Rattus norvegicus: one gene and its partner. The protein of the gene in region 1 interacts with the protein of each later gene in a biochemical or structural test. Links are inferred from orthologs where the notes say so. Each region holds a gene or a part of one and is shown on either strand. Other genes may lie near its edges.

Region 1 (4,496 bases):
TGAACTTGGGAGAGATCCACCTGTCTCTGCCTCCACAGTGCTGATGTTAAAAAACACCGTGTCCAGCTGTGAATCATTGTTTTAAGATAGGGTTTTACTATGTGCATCATGCTGGCTTTGAACTTGTGGTAAGCCTCCTGCTTCTGTCTCAATGTTAGGATTACAGATGTGAGGACACTTGTTTATTACTATCGTCATTTTTTTTTTTTTTAAAAGAAGGATGCTTCTGAGGCTTGCAGAGAACTTCTGGGCTCCTGCTATTCTCCTGCCTCCCAAGTAGCTTGGCCTATGTGCCACTTTGTTTGGCTACTAGGTTTATTTTATTCTGATACTGAGGCCAAAAAAAGAGATATGGTAACTTAGTCAAGGTCATATTCCCAGCAAGTGGTGACACCAGGATTCATACTGGAGACATTAACTCTGCAGCTTCCCAAGTGCATTGTACAATATTTACCTTCATAGAGGGAAATAATAAAATTGGTTAACCCTGAGTGCTGGGAAATGCAAGTGGATAATGAAGTAATCTCATTCAATACTTAAATATCCTATATTGAATTATTCAGAGCCCCAAACCTACACTTTCAAAAATCAAGTATCTCCTTGTGGAATAAATTGACCACAAATCCCTCAGACTTGTCATCAATATTTCAATTCACAATATAATAAAATACAGACATGTCTTGTAGGGAATAAAGTTCTGGGTCTTTCTGTGGACGTCAGTTTCCAGAATCTCTGATGTATACGTGTGACTAAGGAAAAGAATAGCTGAATCACATCTACGGGCGATTCCTTCCAATTAAAAATCTGTAACAGAAAGGAACACAAGGCAGTCCATCTGCCTCTTAACCTCAACAGCTCTTCGGCCCAAGCCCACCAATTTACTTTGGTCCTTTTGAGTGGGTGATGGGGAATAATTCCACAGGCTAAGGCAGAGAGGAAGCATCCTGATTTAGCTCCTGCTGCAGCAAGCCGGGGGGCCGAGATGCCAGTGCACCGGGAACCGCGGTTTGCCCCGACAGCGCAGTGACGGCTAAAGCAAAGCTAGAGTCGTGATAGGCCCCAACAGTCAGACGAGAGTCTAGAGCAAAAGAGGCTCTTCCCAAGGGAACAGGGGACAGAAGAGAGAAAAAAGCCGCGGACTGGGCGCAAGCTTGCCCACTGGCTCCGGTACAACCTCTAGATCAACCCGTAGAAGGGCGTGCGGCCCAGGGCCAGGCCCAGGCTCAGGCCCGGCCCGGCTCGGCTCGGCTCGGCTCGGCCCGCGCATGCGCCGCGGGCCCTCCGCGCCCCCCCTTTTCCTGGCGGGTCTGGGGCGGCGGCGGCGCGGTGACGTCAGGGCGTTGGGGCAGCTCCTGTGACAGACGGAGCTGGAGCGGCGGGGCGGCGGCGGAGTCCGGCGGCCGAGATAGCGAGTGAGGGAGCGAACGAGCAGCGACCCGAGAGTCCAGGGAGCGAGGAGGAGCCGGAGGGGAGCGCTCAGGCGCGAGCGAGAGGACGCGCGAACGCTGGGCTAGGGCTCGAGCCCCGGAACGGCTGAGGAGCCCGCCCGCGGCCCTCCCCTCCCCCTCCCCGGGACCGGGCCCAGCGCGCCATCCTCCCCCTCCCTCCCTCCCTCCCTCCTTCCTCCCTTCCCTCTCCCTCCCCCTCCCCCGCTGGTGGATGGGAGTGAAGGACGGAAGAGGCCCTGCGGAGGCGGTGGTGCAGCGCTCCGGTAAGGCGGCGACGCTCTACGCCCTCCCCTCTGTCTTTTCCATCGCGCTCGGGCGGCTGCGGGCCGGGCCGGCGGCCTGACGATGTGGCTGCGCCGGTCCCCTCCCTCCCATTCTCCCCTCCCCCTGCCGCCGCTGCCTCCTCCTTCTTCTTCTCCTCTCCTCGCTCTCAAAATGGCGGCCGCGACGGCCGTTGAGTGAGAGGCACCGAGGAGGGGGCCCTGGCCTGGGAGGGCGCTGCCCTTGCTCCAGTCCTCCGACCCTGGCAGCAGGCTACTTGGGCCGCTGAGGCTTCAAACCGTGGCCTCTCGGCGGCATCGCCCTCCTGCCGCCGTGACTTAGCAAGAAAAGTATTCTTGGGTGGGAAGGGCGTGGATAGCAGGTCGCTCTCTGATCTTGGGGAAAGGGCTCAGCCCTCCTGGGCCGCGGAAACGAACCCGCAGTCCCCACCCCTCCGCGGCTGGCGGCTCGCCGCCGGGGCTCCAGCAGCTACCAGGCCTTCCAGGCGTCCGGTTCTCCACTTGTCCTTAGGTTGGTGGTCGAACTGAAGAGGATGGTCGGCCGCGCAGGCCCTTGGCCCCCCGGTGCGGTAGGAGTCCAGGCTCTGCACTCACTAAAGATCTGCAGCATCCACCCACCGAATCGGGCAGGATTTTCCTTTTTGCTACTGACTCCTCGCACGGGAGTTGCCTTTTGACGTTGCTAACACTGAGCTAGTTCCTAGGTTCTCTGCCATTCCCTTCATCCCATCTCTCTACTCTATTAGGAAACGCCGTGACTATTTATTTACTGTCTCTAGCTTCCCAGGTGAGAAAAAATGTTTTTGAGACGATGGGCTTATTTTGATTCCTAAGAGGAGAAATTTTCACTATCTGAGATAGGAGAAAGCAAGGTGCTTTATTTGTTTTTCTGCCTGTTTTTTCCAGTGACTTAGCAAGAAACTCTTTGGGAGGAGTGCAGGAAATTTTCTGTTGAGGTTGGGTTTGGGTGTAATTCCTATCTTTTTTTTTTTTTTTTTGGTTAAGGAATTGTGCTTTTGAAGAAGAGTATCAGATTTGTGGTCTCATTCTCAATGGGCGATGTCATGTCAAGGACCGCCTCCCCACCCCCAAAAAAAAGGCAATTGGGAAAAAAATAAAATTATTACTGCTTTTCTTACCTTTAGTTTCTAACACACCCTCCTAAAGATTCATAACCTTTAAAAGATCCAGCAACAGAAAGGTCATTTTAGCAATTCTCTTTTTGTTGGGTTGGCTTGTTTTGTGTGAATTTTTTTCCGGGGGTGGGATGGTGGAGAGACTTTGTTTGGGCCTCATACCAGTAAGTGTCTTCCCCTCTTCATTTTGCCACAGCAGTGTTTGCTGTGTTTTCCCCTGCAGTAGAGCTAGATTGCTGCAGGATTCAATTCCTTAATCAGGAATATTTTTAGTTGGGTATGCTAGTAATACTATGTTGAATTCACATTAAAGCTTTAACTTTAAAAATTGGTTTGATTTTAAGGCTTTAGCAAGCTTTTATTTCTAATATGTGTCTTTCAGGACATAGTTGTGCAAAATAATTGGCAGTTACAAATTGCGGTTTTTTATTAACGCAGAATATGTATTTAGGGTAATTTATTCTTTCACGGTCTATTTAAAAGATCATTGTTTGATTTCAGAGGAAGGCTTTTCTATAATTTAAAGCTGGTATATATAATTTTAAGAGTCAGAAAGGAAACCAGTTTTTCACAAAATATTTTTGCATATGTTGGTGTTGACAGAGCACATACCCTGTTTTGGTACATTCTCCCACCCCCATAAAAACAGGCTAATATTTGTGGATGCCGTGAGCAGCCATTGAGCCGAGAGGACTGGGTGGAGTAAGGGTGCGACAGCGAAAGCTGGGAAATGCTCAGTTGCCCTTTCATCGAATCTTCTTCATCCTTAATGACTGTAAGGTTATTCGGTATTAATTGTAGCTACAATAAAGGCATTTCTCTATGGTGGATCTTAAAATCTCAGCCTTTCTACCCTTTTTTTTTTTTAAAGAAGAGCATTGATTAATTGGAATAAAGGCAGCATCCTTGCTCTGAAACAAGTACTTACTCTCCACATGTGTGTATGTATAAAAATATCCACATATATACTAATTATTCTACCCAAATGAGTGTTAAGTTAATGAATGCTAGGGATATTTGGCAACAAAAAGCATGGTATTGTGAAAAAAATCTAGTTAAGAATACTCATATTTACTAAAATCTTTTTTTAAAATTTCTTGATGAACATCAAAGATGAGAAAATAGAGAGTGGTTATTTTGTGTTAAGAGCTCTTTAAATAGGCCTTTTCTCTTGTGTTGCCTCTTGCACAGGACCTTTTTCTGTGATAAAAGAGCATAGCTCATGTTAGTGTCTTGTGGTCCTTAAAGAATTCTAAGTATGATATAATGTAATTCTGATGAATTATGTGTTGTAACTTTGTATTTTTACATTTTTTGTTATTTTCATGTAGTTAGAAAGTATTGTGATGGATGAGTACATTACTATATTGTGTCTCAAATATCCTTAGCCCTACTATTCCCAGTTAATAATGGTGCACCTCCACCCCAATCCCAGGGCCACCCAGGAGCTTACAGATAATTAGATGGAGAATACAAGTGTGTTTTCATTTCTGGTATGTCCTCTGAATCTAACTTAATTTGAAAGAATCAGTTTTAAAAATCACAGTCCTATATTTATAAAAGCCTTAATGAAGTCTGTTTGAATTTTTTTTAACTCGTTCATTTATATGTTTCCATGTGCACCAACTTAC
Region 2 (3,809 bases), about 6.0 Mb from region 1:
ATGAAATCCTTTTTCAATACTGAATTTTTAATGTTTTAAATTATATAATGACCCTGAAAAATATCTTATGTTAAAAGAAAAAGGATAAAAAGAAGCAGATCTCTGAGAAATTTAAAGCCAGCCTTGTCTACATAGAGAGTCCCAGGACAACCAGGGCTATGCAAAAAGATTCTATTTCAGGAAAAGAAAAACAGGCCAGGCAGCGGTGGTTCATGTCTTTAATTAAGACCAGCACTTGGGAGACAGATGCAAACGGACCTCTGTGAGTTTGGGGCCAGCCTGAGCTACAGAAGAAGTTCCAAGACAGCCAGGGCTACACAGAAAAACTGTCTTGAAAAAACAAAAAAGAAAAAAAGAAAAAGGAAAAACAAAACAAAGGATACGAAGTTACTCTACTTTTGAGATCAAAAACGTCAAAACAGGATTACAGACTGACACATGCAACCTATATCCACAACAGCCTTGTTCACAGGAACTAAAGACGCAAGCCGCCCAATGCCCATTCACAGAGGAGAAGAAATGATGGAGTGGAGTTCTTAATCCATTTTCTGTAAGAAGGGGGAATGAACAAATTCTCAAAAGCTGTACTTTGAACTCCACACTCATGCAGGCAGGCACAGACATCACTCACACACACACACACACACACACACACACACACATTTAAAAAATTTTGTAAACAAAAAAAAAATCCAGTCACAACAACATAAACAAACCTTGAAGACACTAAAGTTAAATCAACCAGTCACATAAACAATAATAAATATTTTAAAACCATCTCGGTATGGTGGCACAGTTTTAATTTTTAATTCCAGCACTTGAGAGGTTAGAGGCAGGGAGATCTCTGATTTGGAGGCCAGTATGATCTACATAGTGAGATCTAGGCCAGCCAGGGCTATACAGTTGAGACCTAGTCTCAAAAAACAGGATAGACAAGAGATTAAATTTGTAATGTTTTGTTTTGTTTTGGGGTTCTTTTGCTGTTGTTGTTGTTGTTTTGTTTTGTTTTGTTTTTACTGCAATTAAAATAAGTAAGATGCTGGGGGAAAAACTCAGGGATAGAGCACTTGCCTAGCAGGCACTAAGTCCCACCACCTCAAAACAAATGATGAGACGAACAAAAAACAAGACTGGGGATGGAGCCCAGAGGTGTGGTGCTTGCCTGTCATATACAAGGCCCTGTGTTCACTCCTACTACTGTGAAACAAGACCTATAAATAAACAATACCAAGATAATAACTTATATATTACAAAAATTAAAACAATTCTTCAGGGGCTAGAGAGGTAGCTCAGCACATAAAAAGCACTCACTGCTCTTCCAAAGGACTAGGGGTTTGGTTCCCAGCACCCATGTGCTAGCTCACAATTATCTCTAACTCCAGTTGCAGGGATCTGATGCCCTCTTCTAGCTCCTGAGAGCACCAAGCATTCAAACAGTACACAAGCATGCAGCCAAAACACTCTTTACACATAAAACAAACCTTTTAAAACCTATAACTTAAAAAGAACTGTTCAGGGGTTGGGGATTTAGCTCAGTGGTAGAGCGCTTGCCTAGCAAGTGGAAGGCCCTGGGTTCGGTCCCCAGCTCCGAAAAAAAGAAAAAAAGAAAAAAAGAAAAAATAAATAAATAAAAAGAACTGTTCAGATGATTACAGCGCCCTCATGAAAAAGAAAATAAAAGGCACTGAAAATCTATAGAGAGAGATGACATAGTTGAACACACCTTCTGTAGAACTTCCCTCTCTTCTCAGCACAATGAGACTCAGAGTATTATAGCGGAAACAAGAGAAGGGACAGTAAATGCTCCCTGCTGCTGAGCCATCACCTCTCCAGACCCAAACCTGCTCTAAAAAATTTGTGATGCCAAGGTTACAGAGGTGACTCAGAGGTTAAGAGCACTGACTGCTCTTCCAGAGGTTCTGAGTTCAATTCCCAGCAACCACATGGTGGCTCACAACCATCTATGATGAGGTCTGGTGCCCTCTTCTGGCCTGCAGGCACACAAACAGGCAGAATGCTGTATACAAAATAAATTTATAAAAAAAAATTGTGATGCCATGTATATTCCCCATATTAAGCAGAAAAAAAAAAAAGAGAAATATATGTGTCTATTTTCATCTGGAAAGAAGGAGGAAATTATGTAAGAAGTCAGAAATTATATAAGGGAAAATATACAGACATATACAACCATAAAAAATGAACTAAATATATCAAATTACTAGTGGGCTTTCCTTCTTTATAATATTCTCAATTGGGGTTGGGGATTTAGCTCAGTGGTAGAGCACTTGCCTAGCAAGCGCAAGGCCCTGGGTTCGGTCCCCAGCTCCGGAAAAAAATAAAATAAAATAATATTCTCAATTGTACTGTGTTTCTGAGGAGAAAGAAGTTTTAAACAAAGTGTGTACTAGTTACACGTATAATATGTAAACAGATTGATATATGTATATATAAAATGATATGTATATAAAATGAAGTTATTTAAATACAATCAATAAATAAAAAAATCCCAACTGAGTGCAGTATGACACTGAAAAAGCTCAAACTCTGTGCCTCCTTTTTCTCATCTATAATATGGAGGTCACAGCTACTTCTTAGTGCTGATGATATGGGTATGAAATAAATTGCCAGGTTAAACGCACTTTGGCACAGTGACTGAAAGAAATTTAAAGGCATATAAAACTAGAACTTCAGAGAAACTGAAGGCTGGAAACAGCTTGGAAGCAGAGTGCTTACCCAGCATGCTCAAGACCCTGTGATCCTAGCACCATCAAAAGGCTTAGTCCTTGACTTACTCAGGGACCAGGCAATGGATAAATACTTGCCAAGTTATAAAGCTTACTTACCTCTTGCTTCATCCTTTAACCTCTGTACTGAGACCAACAAAGATTCCTTTTCATCAAGTTCACTTTCTAAAAATGCATTTCGTTCAATGGCCTGATTTAGCCTTTGTTCAAAGTCTTCCAGTGAAACTATTGTTGCCCTTTAAAACAAAATTATTTGAAGCCCATGAATTAAACAGCATGTACAAACAGCTAGTACAAAAGAAAATCAGTTTATCTCCTGCCATTCTTAACCAAGTCAACCTGACCCAATTTGGAGAATGATCTCACTCCATTCAGCAAAAATTAACACATACTTACTCTTGTAGCCTCCCATTCCCTGGTTATCTGCTACAGAAATAAAATTCTCCAACCTAAAGTTACAACTCAGAATACCAATTCCAACCTTTTTTTTTTCCTATGGGGACACTGTAGCTATCTTTATACACACCAGAAGAGGGCACAGGATCCCATTACAGATGTTTGTGAGCCACTCTGTAGTTGCTGGGAATTGAATTCAAACCTCTGGAAAAGCAGTCAGCACTTCTTGATGAGGTTTCTCAAGCCCTAAAACAGTCTCTTAATAAAATACTTCCTGGGGTTGGGGATTTAGCTCAGCGGTACAGCGCTTGCCTATCGAGCACAAGGCCCTGGGTTCAGTTCCCGGCTCTGAAAAAAAAGAAAAAAAAAAAAAACCTTCCTGCTCTGAAGCCTCTTCACTGTCTCTCTGCCTAGTTAACTTTTCTTCTTTGCAGACTGGGCCCCAACTTGTAAAAAGGCTTTCTCAGGGCTGGGGATTTAGCTCAGTGGTTGGTAGAGCGCTTACCTAGGAAGCGCAAGGCCCTGGGTTCCGTCCCCAGCTCCGAAAAAAAGAAAAGAAAAAAGAAAAAAAAGAAAAAGAAAAAGTAACAGACACTCTGGAGGCAGAAACAGGCAGATCTCTGAGTTCGAGATCCACCTAACTCAGTCTCCCATGTACTGGGATTCAAG

What was found.
Region 2: the proteins of Pafah1b1 (region 1) and Ndel1 form a complex in vitro, tested with the Homo sapiens proteins (3 studies listed by BioGRID). The link is inferred for Rattus norvegicus from reciprocal best matches to the Homo sapiens genes PAFAH1B1 and NDEL1.

Annotation. Positions count from the first base shown.
Region 1 is NC_086028.1:60,087,092-60,091,587, reverse strand, and holds the start of Pafah1b1 (platelet-activating factor acetylhydrolase IB subunit alpha), read left to right. Parts: upstream 1-1,391; 5' UTR 1,392-1,711; intron 1,712-1,718; exon of another isoform or gene 1,719-2,516; intron 2,517-4,496. UniProt on the Homo sapiens protein: Regulatory subunit (beta subunit) of the cytosolic type I platelet-activating factor (PAF) acetylhydrolase (PAF-AH (I)), an enzyme that catalyzes the hydrolyze of the acetyl group at the sn-2 position of PAF and its analogs and participates in PAF inactivation.
Region 2 is NC_086028.1:54,044,850-54,048,658, forward strand, and holds part of Ndel1 (nuclear distribution protein nudE-like 1), read right to left. Parts: intron 2,981-3,809; coding exon 2,844-2,980; intron 1-2,843. UniProt on the Homo sapiens protein: Required for organization of the cellular microtubule array and microtubule anchoring at the centrosome. May regulate microtubule organization at least in part by targeting the microtubule severing protein KATNA1 to the centrosome.